2 linked regions of the Mytilus edulis genome follow. The protein of the gene in region 1 purifies or fractionates together with the protein of each later gene. This does not show direct contact. Links are inferred from orthologs where the notes say so. Each region holds a gene or a part of one and is shown in the gene's direction. Other genes may lie near its edges.

The links. Proteins that work in one complex are often made in the same cells at the same time.
Region 2: the proteins of nucleolar protein 58-like (region 1) and NHP2-like protein 1 fractionate together in Homo sapiens (co-fractionation; 3 studies listed by BioGRID and IntAct, with this or other methods). This does not show direct contact. The link is inferred for Mytilus edulis from reciprocal best matches to the Homo sapiens genes NOP58 and SNU13.

Annotation. Positions count from the first base shown.
Region 1 is NC_092357.1:55,774,491-55,782,427, reverse strand, and holds the start of nucleolar protein 58-like, read left to right. Parts: upstream 1-4,919; 5' UTR 4,920-5,032; coding exon 5,033-5,077; intron 5,078-5,671; coding exon 5,672-5,748; intron 5,749-7,670; coding exon 7,671-7,723; intron 7,724-7,937. UniProt on the Homo sapiens protein: Required for the biogenesis of box C/D snoRNAs such as U3, U8 and U14 snoRNAs. Part of the small subunit (SSU) processome, first precursor of the small eukaryotic ribosomal subunit.
Region 2 is NC_092352.1:86,754,311-86,761,333, forward strand, and holds the start of NHP2-like protein 1, read left to right. Parts: upstream 1-4,021; 5' UTR 4,022-4,137; coding exon 4,138-4,140; intron 4,141-7,023. Other genes in the region: meiotic recombination protein DMC1/LIM15 homolog, read right to left, coding at 806-888, 1,159-1,254, 1,399-1,449, 2,197-2,241, 2,893-2,952.

The DNA of each region.
Region 1 (7,937 bases):
ACACCGGTTTTAATGACATATACAGGTAAATGAAAAATAACTTTTCTCGTTTTAGGTTTATACTACTATGTGTATACAATTCTTCCAATAATTAGGAATACCAAGAAAGTTCTGTCATATAAATACATAATTTAACACTAGATACAAATTGGGGTGAATATCAACAATAAATCTATACAATTAGAGCTAGCTAAAACTTCCCTGTACAGATTTAAGCAGAATAATCTTGAAGTTCATACATTGTCAAATGTAGTACGAAGAAGTGAAAATTAGAAGATATTCCAAATAATCAAAGCTGGTATATAGACAAGATCCATATTAATATAAACTAACAAAAACGCATTATAAAAAAATAACAACAGGTCGAATTAACAAGAAAATACGATTTGAGAGTACTCACAGTTAGTGGCAGCTAGTTAAAAGCCAAAAACAATTAATAATAAAAAATCATGCATCAGAGATTAATGTTTTTCTGAGTCCGTCTATGACTCTGCTAGAACAGCAGATCATATCTTCTCATTAAAGTCAATCGTAGATAAATATAAGACTAAAAAAAAAAGTTTTTGCAGTATTCATAGATCTGCGAAAGGCCTTTGATATACTGTCTGGAGCCGGGAGGGTTTATTCTACATCCTACTTCAAAACAGACTTCCAGGCAAGCTTTTTAATGTCATCCAATCAATGTATAATGAAAATAAATGCAGAATTAAATTTCAAAATGGTATTAGCCATGCATTTATATCAAATTGCGGAGTACTGAAAACAAGGAGATGTACTTGGCCCCACTTTATTTAATCTTTATATAAATGGCCTTGTAAATGACCTAGATCATGCAAACACTCAACCAATTTTTATAGGAGATGTTAAACTAACATCATTATTATATTCTGATGACATTATTCTATTGTCCGAAACCCAAGAAGGGCTAAATTTGTTCCCTATGGAAACTTGATGTAAACAAACAAAAATCAAAAATTATAATATTCAATTCTAATGGAAAATCTCATTGTAATTATTTTAAAGTAGAAAACGAACATCTTGAGACTTTTAAATCTTATTGTTACCTTGGAATAACTATGAATTGTTCATGAAGTTTAAGTCGTTCAAAAAAATTCTTATTGAAAAGGGAAGAAAGGCTTGGTTAAAAATTAAAATAAACAGTCTCTTTAGATAATTTCTGCAGTATGCTTGGAAAATTATTTGATACTTTAGTTGTTCCTATAAGTCTTTACGGAAGTGAAGTTTGGGGTGTAAGCCAGGGTTGAGTTCAATATCGTAGCAGCTACGTAGCGGCTATGTATAGCTGCTATCAATATTTATGTAACAACTATTATATAGCTTCACGTTCAATAGTGAAAATCTACACACTACGTAGCTGCTACGATATTTCACGCAGCCCAGGTGTTCAAAGATTCAGATCCATTTGAACATTTACATATTAAATTTATTAAAGAAATTTTAGGAGTACAGTGCAAAACAACAAATGTAGCCTGTTTAGCTGAGACAAACAGAACCCCTTTGTACTTTAAAATTCAGCTTTCAGCTATAAAATTTCTAAACCACATTGTGAACTCGCCTAACACTTTAGTCCATAAAATATATAATAATGTAGAGAAAACAAGTAAATGGGTTAACATTGTAAAAGACTGCATGGTTAAATAAATTAGGTTTTGGTCATCTCACTTTAGATACTATAATATTAATTTAAAATATCACATAAATACTATCCAACAAAGAATCTATAATATTAATTTAAAATATCACATAAATACTATCCAACAAAGAATCTTTGACCAGGCTTTTCAAATTATGAATTGTTAGATATCAATAAATGTGAAAAAATAAATTTCTTTTGTCATACTAAAAGAATTAGAAAATGGCCCCCATATGTCAGTAAATTTAAACTAAGTGTCCATTCCCTAGCAATTGAAAGAGGGCGTTATACCAACATTGATAGAAGTAAACGCATTTGCTTATCCTGTAACAGTCAAGAAATTGAGGATGAATACCATTTCTTCTCAATCTGTCCATACTATACATCATTGAGGGATACCTATATACAAAATATTAATAAAAATCTATTAATTTCAATTTTATTAAAATGCAGTCCGCTATAACACTGAAGCATTTGACTGCACTTTTAAATAGCAGTCTACCAGTCATTATTAAAATCACCATAAAGTATATTAATGATTGTTCTTTTTATTGAGAACATCTGTACAACTTGTATTTCTTTTAATATGCAACCTAATTTTTGTTAGGGTTCTTTCTTTGATTGTTCATGAACATTAATAATGTGTTAACTGTTGATATTTATAGCCTTTTTTTCTTCACTGTGAATACCACTGTCACTTTAATATGATTATAATCAATTTAACTATTGTCAGTTTATTGTCTTAATTTTGTATGCCATAACCATTTAATGTAAAGGTGTTTGTGCTAATAAATATTGTCTTGTCTAAATATTGTCTATCGAATAATTTGATTTAATTTTTGGTGTTTTAACGCCACTTTTAAACACCGCTTTTGGGCTATATCATGGCGGCAAGGTTTTTTTGGTGGAGGAAGCCGGAGTGTGCGGAGAAAACCATCCGATTGATAGGATAACTGACAATCCTAGTCAATTAAGATTGGAGTCGAATGCACCCGAACGAGCGGGGTTCGAACTCACAACCTCAGTGTTGACTGGCTAGTGATTACAGTAGTAACTGCTTTTTCTCTTGATTAAATTTTATTCAAATTATCAGGGCCGTAACTACCTATGAGGCAGGGGAGGCAGTTTGCCCTGAATTTTCTACACCAACATTTTTTTTTTGAAGTAAAAATATAAAATATTGACAATATGAATACGAAGAACTTGAATTTATATTATAAACAACACAAGTTAACAGTTTTAACAGTGTTATCATGATACGTGATATGTCTGTCATTTTTCGGATTTTTGATCGAAAGTAAAACCGTTTCAGTATTTGTTTTATTATTTTTTCGTGTGGCCGTCCGTCTGTTATTCGGAATTGAGGGGGTCAGTATTCGTATGAGAACACATATGAAACTTTGCTTTCGATAATTTTGAATAAAAACTTAACTATTCACATTTATTTTGGGGCTCAATTATTTAAGCAGAGGAAGTTCCTTTTGTATTGTGAATCTCTTAAGATATCGGAAATTCGTTACCGGCTGAATCAGCTGTTGGATCCTTTTTTTAAGTTTCCCGATCGTACGAGAACATTATGGTCAATGCCTTAATTAGTAGGTAAACACTCCCATTCGTTGTAGCAGGGACTTTCTATACTAAGTATATACTAGACTAGTATAGAAAGTCCCTGTTTTATGTTATATACATGTCTGTTCAGCTTTCAACAATATTGAAATTCAAGATCCTCGATAAAAAAAAATATCTTGTGTTTTATAATCTTGCTTATATGTTTTTTGAACTTTTCCAGTTTCTAAAAATATATCTTCAAATACAGAAAATACAGATAATAATTGTTTGCATGAAAATTGCTCCAGGGATCCAGCAAAACTGATCTTTCTTAAAGTAAGGAAATCGAAGGAAAACGGGTAATTTTTGCCATATCATTTGAGAAAAAAATCCACGGTCACAATGTATTTACTAATGTTAACAATTATAGGTCAAAGTACAGCCTTCAAGACGGAGCTAGCCTTGGCTCAACCCAAACAGCAATCTCAGCTTGTTTTTGCATACAAGTTGCTTCCAGGTTCAAGCAATACTGATGTTTCTTAAAGTAAGGAAATCGAAGGGAAACGGGTAATTTTTAGCCAATGACTGAGAGAAAAAGATCGGCGGGGGGCTGCGCCCCTACCCCTATCAAAGGGGGCTCAATCGGCGGTCCCCAAACCCCTGCCTCCCCTGAATTCGAACCCTAGTTACGGCCCTGATTATGTACAATAAAAATTCACTCGGCCACCGAGGCCCCTTCTATGTTGAATAATAAAACATGTACTAAAGCGTACTGTTTAAAGGGTGACATCTAACAAAGAACTAAACGATGACAATTGTTTAATTTTAAAGCAGGGTCAAAATGTGATTGCCTGTAGTCAGGAATCTGTAGCTCCGTGGTTGCCATTTGTCAGTAGTTCAGTGGTTCGAGGGTTGATATTTGAATCATTGGCAATCACACCACATCTCCTTTGTAGTATTACACTACATACAGGATGCCGCAGCGCTATGGTCGGCATACACGGATGTTGCATGGTTGAATACTGTTGATCAATAAAACACAAATTAAGGCAATATTCTGGTCGTGATAAGGGCATTGACTCTATATTGTATTCTTTATTTTAGGCTATTTGTTATACTTTATGTTTTACATAGTAATCTCAGTGTAGACGGAACGTGAATTTTGTATTTTAATAAGGGACGAAAGATACCAGAGGGACAGTCAAACTCATAAATCGAAAATAAACTGACAACGTCATGGCTAAAAATGAAAAAGACAAACAGACAAACAATACTACACATGACATAACATAGAAAACTAAAGAATAAGCAACACGAACCCCACCAAAAACTAGGGGTGATCTCAGGTGCTCCGGAAGGGTAAGCAGATTCTGCTCCACATGTGACACCCGTCGTGTTACTTATGTGATAACAAATCCAGTAAATAGTATAATTCGGTAGGTCACATTCATGAAAGGGAAGGGGATTGTAGTTACGACGTAAGGAACATATCCGATATCATTTGTGGAACGGTTAATAAGCATACATGTACATGTATATTAAATTTTTTTGATTATATTTATAACCCTAGCTGATATCTTTGAGTCTTTATAATATTTTAGTTTTTAAAAGAAAACTTATCATTCACTTTTAATGAATTTATTATATTCCGACTTAAAACCTGCTTTCTGTTTCATCTGACCAAGAACTGATACCGCACTCTACGTTATAATAGCCTCGACCATTTAAATGCCATCTAAATTCGTTTCTTCAATGTTTCCTTCGTAATTTGTATTAATCGTATTTGTAGGGAACCTCGTGGTTTGAAGCAGTGTTGTTGATATCTGCAAAATGTTGGTTTTATTTGAAACTGCAGCTGGATATGCAGTTTTTAAGGTAAATATTTTACGAGGGTCTTAATAATAATGCGATGTCAACAATCTGCAAATTAATTTACTCTCTATTTGGCTCCAGTGAAACATGCAAAATTCACCACGTGGTCTGGTCTGCATGCAAAAAAATATACACGTGTTTCTGCATTGCAGTGGGAAAAAAAGCTGTTGTTTGCTTAAAATGAAATAAAACTTTCATCTTTTCAGATTGACATCAATTGAAAGTTTTTTTCTGGACGATTTGACATAAAAATGCTATTGTATGTTGACACATGGACGCAAATTATTTGCTCATAGCATCCACTGGCTCCAGGCACAATCATTTTATAAGATAAATACCTGTATCAAGTATGGATTGTGGCAGTTATAATTTTCACTTAATTCCTAACTTATATATAGTCGGCAGCTTATGGTTTTGTGAGGTTTTTTGGACTCCCCCCATTTTTCAATTTATCTTGAAACATAAAGTTTGGCTCCAGCTCCTGGTCTCCCGACTTGTTTAGATTTACAGTAACCATCTTTAAAAAAGTAAATCATACTACTGCATACATGTTTAACAGAGAACTTGTTGTGATGTTTTTATGTGTACTAATTTTAGCTTCAAGATGAGAAAAAGCTGAGAGAAACAGAAAACTTATTCAAAGAATTTGAGACTCCAGAAAAGGCAACAAAGCTGTAAGAAATATGATTAAGAAATTGAATTAAATGTTTTCACCACAGAATTATAATCAAACCATGCAAACACCAAGAACACATTAAATTTTTCTCCAAGGCAAATTAAAATGTATATGTATGTGTGGTTTTAGACTTCAGTTATCTCACTTACCCTAGTTTAAACTCTCCAAACGCTATGAATTTTTGTTTTGCATTTCTTATTTAGATTAGAAATATCCACTATGTCTAAGTTAGCTGCGGAACCGTAGCTCTTAGGTCCTTATGTTATTTTTTGAATATTTGCGGATCTATGGTCCGCAAATAGTCAAAAAATAACATAAGGACCTAAGAGCTACGGTTCCGCAGCTATGTCTAAGTATGCAAAAATTTCTAAACAGAATGGAACAAAATCAACTAAAAACTTAATGTGACTGTCTATTTACTTTTGAATCAAAAGATAAAGGAGACGGTGAATTTCCGGTAGAAGCATTTATAATCCGAGAAATGGACTCTGTTTTTTTCCCATTTTTTCTAGATTTTGACAACTGAATAAAAAAGCCTGACATTTTTTTTCAGGAATACCTAAACACAAATTATTTAATAAATACACAGAAAATTACCAATTACTAAAAAAAATAGCATAAAATTCCTCTTAACATGCTCAATAAGCTTTACATTTTTCCTAAACAGTGGTTGTATTGTATGTTAATTTTGCATTAATTTTTTTATTTTGATATTATGAAAGCACTTTTGAGATCTAGGTTTCTGATTAGAATCATCACAGTGTTTGTAACACATGTGGTTTTAAATGCAGAAAGAACCTTCATTGTTTCAGTTTCTTCCAATCCCTTTATCAAAAAGTATTGAAAATGTCTGACAATCAAAATATATGTGAAAAAAAGGCAGCAAAGGGGTCAGCAAAAAGTCAGAGTTGTGCTTTTAAATTCAAACCATATTTATTTAAAAAAAAAAAAAAAAATTATGTAGTTTTTCCCTCAGACAACAGTTGAGGTAGTTTTGAAAAAAGACAACAATAAAACTACATTTGCATTTTAAAACGTAAGAAATGGTCATGATTTTTTTCAAAGAAATTGTCGGGTATTTAGGTAGTAAATGAATTAAATCCAAGTTATTCCTCATACTTATAACTTTTTAATTTGAAATTTTCCTCAGTTAAAATTCTCAATGGCCTACTTCGATTCGTCCAACTCGGGTTAATAGAGTCCATTGAGTTTACTCGACTGACAACCGAACACCCTGAGTTTGATTTTTTGAACCTACCCGAGTTAACTCGACATCAACCCTGGGGCGGGGCAGGTTTAGTCGAGTTTCAAGATGGCGTCAATTTGTTGCAACAAATAAAAGTGATACTAATAAACTGGTATTTGACAAAATACAGCCGAAGAATAAGGCTGATGTGGCGAATTTATTATTGCTGCTATTTTGGAATCCACAAATAATTTTAATTTGTTTATCAACTGTCGGTAATGTTATACATCAACAGAAATTGATGATTTTTTCTAAACAATTTTTTTCTCAACCGTTTTTAACGCACTAACAAATCTATTTTGCAAAAGCACACAGGATTAGAACTCTTTTCCTGAAACATAACGTTGTGTTTTTTTGTTATTTTAATACTCAGTTAAAAAGAATTTTTCCCATCCTTTACTCGATGGAAGAGTTTTGACTTCAATTGGTAAAGGTTGCTCACATGCGCATTAGCACTTGTCTTTTAACTCAAGTCATCCCGAGTTGGACGAATCGAAGTAGGCCATTTAGATCAATTTGAAATAATCTTTTATTTTTCATACATATGCATTTTTAGATAAATTTGTCGTCTTCGACCTTGTTATTGTCATGACTAATGTGTAAGAAAAAAAATGTATTTTGAAGGGAATGCATAGGAGGGAAGATCATCTAAATATATTTTTCTTAAATTTCAGATTGAAGCTGAAACACTTCAAGAAATTTAATGACACAACAGAAGCATTGGCATGTTAGTACATGTAGTTAACTTATTATCTAAAGATTTATATATTCTGTCATATACATTTACGGATAGAAACAACAACGTCTACTGGAATTTCATGTATTTCAATTTACCATCATGGAACTAATGCTTGTACTTCAATTGTTTATCATGCATCATGTAAAATTATGCATGATAAATTAAAGTACAAGTCAGCACTCATTTGAAAAACCAGATATTA
Region 2 (7,023 bases), on another chromosome or scaffold:
TTTAATTTTCTATTGTAATTGTCGATAACATCTTTTTTTATTACATCCATTGCAATCTTTTTTTTTAATAGAACATTGATATTTTGTTTGCTCTTGTACAAGGCCAAATAAAATAATATGTGCGTTTCCTATATTATCTTTGAAAAAAAAAGGGTAGGTAGGTAGATAGGGATTTTTTTATTTTACATTTTTTTACATTGAGTCTATGGGAGAAAAATTCTTACATTATAAACAATGATTATTGGAAAATGACCAAAAAAACTTTAAGGTAGGCTATTTCTAAGCTTAAAATATAGGGTACTACCCCGTAGGTAGGGAAAAAGGTAAACTCTTATTTTTTTATTTGGCCTAAACATCTATGCAGAGGTTTGTTATGAAATAATTAATTCCTAAATCACATATATTGTCAGAAGTGAAAATTTGTAAAACTTTTATAAATAATTGTGACCCTAGAGAGTCTTCATGATGAACTGTTAAATCTACATGCCCAGAGCTCAATTTTCCAATTTTTTTAGTTAGATTCTGTTGGCGGCCTGTAGATATGATTTTTACAGGCCCGAGAGCAATTTTACTAGCCTGGGCTGCCACTCAGGGTGAAGACTGCAGGCTAGATATTCTTTTGATTTGTAGGGACCCACCTGATATTTTCTCAAAATTAAAGATCCATGCAACATGTGCAAACAATTCTTTAATCAACTTCTAATCTCAGTTTTGTATAATGTATAGAAATATAAAAGATTTTACTTTGCTGTACACATAATGGTATAAAAATAAACAATGTTAGTATAACTAAAAAACTAATTACTCTAATTCTATGCTTCCAGTCGTTATTCTGAAGACAGCTTTTCTTTTATCTGAATACTCTAAAGCTGTCAAAAAACCTGGATCCTGGAAATACAAGAATGAAATGAGGCATCTGCTACTGAAATTAAAAAAAAAATAATAAAATTCTCCTCATTCATCATTAAACTGTTTGACTTTGAAATACTAATTTTTGACTTTTTCAACTGGACCAACTCACTCCTTTGAAAATTAATGCCAGACTTTAATCTTTTTCTGGTGTAACTATGTTCCCTACTTATATATATTTTATTCTTAAAACAGGGAGAACTAGTTTGGGAAAATATATTAGGATGATGACAGTAGGTTAATACATACACAGAGCTTATTTGCAGCTTCTTTGATTTTTTCCATTTTTGCTTCAGAAATTCCTTTTACAGCACAAAGTCTTTTCTTTGTGGTCATTTGGATTCCCTGTAATAATACAATTTTGCATATTTAATGGTTAAAATTTCAAAAAAGTATGAAGAGATAAAAGGTACAATATAATGCACTTGCTATTGTTTGAGATTTGATAATAAATAACGAAGTAGTACTTAAAGTTTATACAATACTTGCCTTTATGGTACATATTCCCACTTGCTTCAGTTTCTTTATGTCAGCTACATTCTATAAATTAAAAAAATAATTAAATGATGCAAATATAAATGACACAAAGTTTGGATGGGATTTCCTTGCTGCTTTGAAGACCCATTGTTGGTTGTGGGCTGTGGTTTGCAATTTGGGCGAGTTGATGTCTCTTTGACGCATACCCCAATTTCCTTTCTAACAATTCACATTGAAAAAAGGTTTGGAATATATTGGTTCCATTCCTTCATCTGTTTTACTAAAGCAGAGAATAATAAAAAAAAAAACTCCATATAAAATCTAACATATTTTCTAAGGCACCTATACTGTTTACATCCATTTCAAACATTGAACTGTGCTCAGCAGTAAAATCTTTCTACCTCAATCGTCTTTTGTGATTACAAAATACTTGTACACATGTCAGAGAAAAAGACTGAGATGTAGTTTGAACCTAGATAAGAAAAATTACCTCTTCTTGAAATTCAGAGTAGCAAAACTAGTTTGGAGACCATCTAAATATGTTTTGACTATAGGATGAATGTAAAATCATATAAAATTTCTGATATTGTAATAGAGTACACATTATTGTTCTTGTACAAACGCAACTTTAAACTTTTCTATACATTTTCCAACTGGGAACATCCTGAATTAACAGTATTTGGATTATAGCTGTTGTTAACAATTAAGATGCCCATCCCCCTTTTAAGCACTATAACCTTGATAAATGGTGCTAGCTATAATATATATCAACTATTCTATATTAAATGACTTATATCAGTTAAGACTTACAATTCCATGATTCTGCAGAAGATCTATGTCCTGGAAAAGTGATTCCTGAAATAGTAAATGATTAACGACATAAACACTCCCCTCAACTGGGACGTACTAGCTATCATTCTAAAAGAAATAGGAAGCTGAAGAACATAATATTAATTGAAACTGTCTTCTGGCATGTTATAACCTGTACTGTTGATTTGAATTTTCTCTACATTTTCAGCTCAACCATTAGAGTGCACTCCTTATATATATAAGAACAAATATGTATAAATGTAACATCACTGTAGGTCTATAGGTGAAAAATACTGATCACATCTATCAGCTGAGTGAGCGTTGCCTTGTCATCATTTGCATCTCATTTTATGTTAATATGTCCTTGAAAACAGATTAATAGACTTCTACTATACTTGCACAAATTCTCCACAATTAAAGTGGTGCACCTGCTATTTCATTTTTTGACACAAGCAATTGTGACACTAGGAATTTCTTATACCAAAACATTTTAAATGTAAATCATTTGTACAAATGTAGGTACGGTAGCAGCCAACACATTTTTTCCAAGGGAAAACTCATAAATTATATTTTAATATTTGTTTATTGTTATTCCAATAAAAATAAATAAAGAGACTGGACTAGAGTTTGCAGAGAGAGTAAATAATATGGTTAAACTAATTTCAAAGAGTTGTTACTCAATGCAAGGAGCCATACCTCTTCATCATCTTCATTCACAACTAATTCTTCTTCAACAACCTGGTCTTCCTGCTGCATGATTTTCTCTATAAAAAAAAATCTCGATTTTTTCAAAATCTCTTCAATAATTACAGCGTTATAATTATCATTGATTTCTAATCACTATCAGTGTCACCAAACAAATTAACAATGACCAAACTGGACACTTCATTGATGAGTTTATTCCAAAACACCTATCAGTAGATGGACTGGTCAATGATGAACGCACCGTTTTAACTCCGCCCAGTCAAGTGAAATAAATCAAGTAAGACATAATCTAAAAGCAATGTAAGGGAGATAATTCATATAAAACATTGTAATTAGTGTTGTTTAAATTTTTAATGTTTATTTATCAAACAAAACAAATTCTATAGCCTCAAATCACAAAAATTACTTCCCTTTGTCAATCGTAGAATGGTTCTATACTAGACAAAATTGGCTTTTGCCAATGCAAAGCAGTGGCAGATCGAGGGTGTGTGTTGAGGGTTGGAACCCCCCTTTTTTTTGGACGATCAATGCATTTGAATTAGGACATGTGGTTGGAACACACACCCCCCCTCCCTTTTCGTGGAAAAAATTTGGTTGATTATATAGGTAATCACTGAAGCATGACTGGATCGCCACCCCCCTTTTAGGTCAGTTAGCGGGCCCCCCTTAGGTCAAGTTCTGGATCCGCCACTGTCAAATATATTTCATTGCTAATCAAAGCACCCACAAGGAGCAGAACAATCAACATTAATTACATACAAATGATTACACAAGTGATTCAATTATATGATTAAGACACAATGTCAATGTTATAAAAAATATTTATTAAGACAAGTAGAAGAATACAACAACTTGACAAGCACAGTGTTTAATAATATATAAACTAGGTTAAAAAAAGGTTATTCATGAAGTTGATGCTTAGCTCTCAACTATTCAGATTTACAAAAACCTTGAAGTATGGGAAAACTAGAACAGTCATAAACTTTCTTACATAGTTCTTCTGCACGCCAGTTACCAACTTGCTCTTTCTGCTACAAAACTTGTCGTCTGCTAACACGTGCGAGATAATCGACGTCTTTAAAATGTTTGTATATTTATTTTAAGTCCGTAACAATAAACCCTTTAAATACGTCGATTGTTAAATCAACATCCGGTTTTTAACACGAGGCACAAACGAAAACATTACCACGAGGCCCAGTGAAGCTTTCAGCCGAGGGAATATTTTGAACAACAATCATGGTAAAACACCTTTACAATATAGTATTTTTGTCACAACCTTAATATGCTTGAATTGAAATTTTATTTGTAATAGAAAACATCAACCAAAAGGCGCATTTCAACCTTGAAAAGATTGATAAATGATTTGTTAATAAAAAAAAAGGGGGGTCGTATGGTATACTTTCTTTCAGAGGTAGCATTAAAAAAAGAAAGTTATTAACTGGCGTTCCCAAAGTATAATGTCCATAACCATATAATAATAACAATAAAGCTTGATATAACAAAGGTAGCTCATTTAATTATTAATTTAATAATACCAATGACATGTCAATCTTTAATACCTGAGGCCTTTTCGAATGATGACCTCAGCATACACATGGTATGATCTATTAACTTATCAGAAAATTATATACTATCATGCATGTTATTCAATCCATCTTGTATGGGAAAGGATTTGTATAGGCACTGCCTTTTGTCCAATCCCTTTGTTTAAATGTACATTTGATATTTGAACAATAAAATATTGGCACTGGCTACGGTTACATGGAAATGTAACAATAATAATAATATTATTGTTACATTGGAGACTAAATGCCGAAACGCAAAGTCGGGTAAGGAACCGATTAATTACGAATGTAACAATAATTACTGAGGCTACGGTTACATTGCGTTATTGTTACACGAAAAACAGCAATATACGATGGGTCTATTAAAATGTACAAGATAATAAAAAAGACATTTATTTTATATTTACAATACTATAGTGTTATTAACTGGCTGTTTCTGTATTGGCACTGGTATAGATTCAAGGTTTGCTGTATTGGCCTCGAGACCTGTAGGGTCGAGGGCCAATACAGCTGACCGAGAATCTATACCAGTGCCAATACAGAAACAGCCAGTTCATAACACTTTTATTAAATGATTATAAGAGAATTAAAAACCGGAAGTGAACGTCCCGTATTAGCCCATGGGCCAATACAGCTTTTTTCCCGCTTTTTTCTGTATTTGCCCTGTTTTTTCCGTTTGAAAACATTAAGACATTACAAAACATTGCACATCATTTAACCTGTTTATTTTATGACTTTAATTTAAAAATTATTATACAAATGTTTTTATGCATAACGATACTTCAAGAGTAAAGTAATGGCGTAAGAAAATTGAAAACCGGAAGTGAACGTCCTGTATTGCCCTAGGGCTAATACGACTTTTTTCCCGCTTTTTTCTGTATTGGCCCTGTTCGAAGAGCAATATTAACTCTTGATTTATATCGACAGTGGAACGTTTTTAGTATTGCACATGCTGATTTATCCGTATTAGGGCTTATTTGCTCATATCATTTAATAAATACAATTATTAAATATAAATTCTTTAATTATTTATTTGCAATGACATTTTCTACATATCCAGTAAGTGGTTTTTGGAGCATTTCTAAGTCCGACACATTTTTGGTGAAACCACTCCAAGCAGCCATCACACACCAGTGATGCCGCACTGTGAACGTCCGTATCACACACTGTACAGTTCCATTCTGCGATATCCCGTTTTGATGATAAGGCAACCTTTCATGTTTGCCATGCTTCCGATGAGAAATACTTTTTCACTCTAGCAATGTTTATATTCTCATCTAATATTTTGGTTGGAAACATGTGATGTAGTTTTATGTCATCTTTCAGTATGGTCACATTGCCGTCCATTACGGATGTAAGGTTTACCTCGGATTTCAGTATCCAACTTAGCATAGCTGAAAAAAACAATAAATTATAAAAATGCAAGTCAAAAGTCAAAAGTTCATCAAATACTAATAAATAGTGAATTATTTTCCATTATTCAAACTGACATCGCCATGGCTAAAAAGTAAAAAGGCAAAACATACAAATAAAAGTAAAAAAAACACAACATGGAAAACTACAGACTAAGAAACACGAACCCTATCAAAAACTGGGGGTATATCAACTGTCCATTTTTTTAAAAAGTTATTTACCTTCTTCTTTTTCCTTTGGTCGTCTTTTAAGAAACGGCATGACTCTCTTCGTACTTTTGGGCAATCCAACGACGCAATCTCGCATGAATATAATGACCCATTGATATTCGTTTATAGGTTAAACTTAACTTACCTTTGGTTTGGACGAGCTCCATCTGATTTTGAAACGACATTACGTCCTCCGTGGATACATGTATACAGAAGTTCACAGTATTTTACTTCACAGTTAGCAAACTTTGCTATAGATGAATCATTTTTTTTAGAACTGTGTTTGTATAGCTGAATGAAATTTGTGTCTTGATATTGTTTCAGTTTTGTTTCAAACGAATCCCAAGTTTTAAATTGTTCACCCAAAACAAAATTGGTCACAGGAATCTCTTCATCCATTGTGTAAAGTAAAATGACAGTTATACGAGTAGGTGTGCAGTTAAATACTTAAACTAAAGTGAACACTTTTCTCAGCCCGAGTTCTCAACAACAAATCATTGGACTATATTTTCGCCTTTGGCACTACTTATCTAAAGTAGTATCTTTAAAACACCAAATGTGACCATTTATACGTTAAAAAGACCAATTTAAACACCATTTGTTAATCGATAATATTTATTACTTATCATTATTACAAGTATTATTTCGTACAGATGCAAGATTAAGGCAACCGTTAAACCATAGAAGATTTAAGTTTAATAAATCGAGCGTACATTGCTGTTTTTCATGTAACAATAACGCAATGTAACCGTAGCCTCAATAATTATTGTTACATTCGTAATTAATCGGTTCCTTATCCGACTTTGAATTCCGGCATTTAGTCTCCAATGTAACAATAATATTTTTATTATTGTTACATTTCCATGTAACCGTAGCCAGTGCCTAAAATATTTTGAATTGAATACACATGGCATACACTCAAAAATCCTTATTAT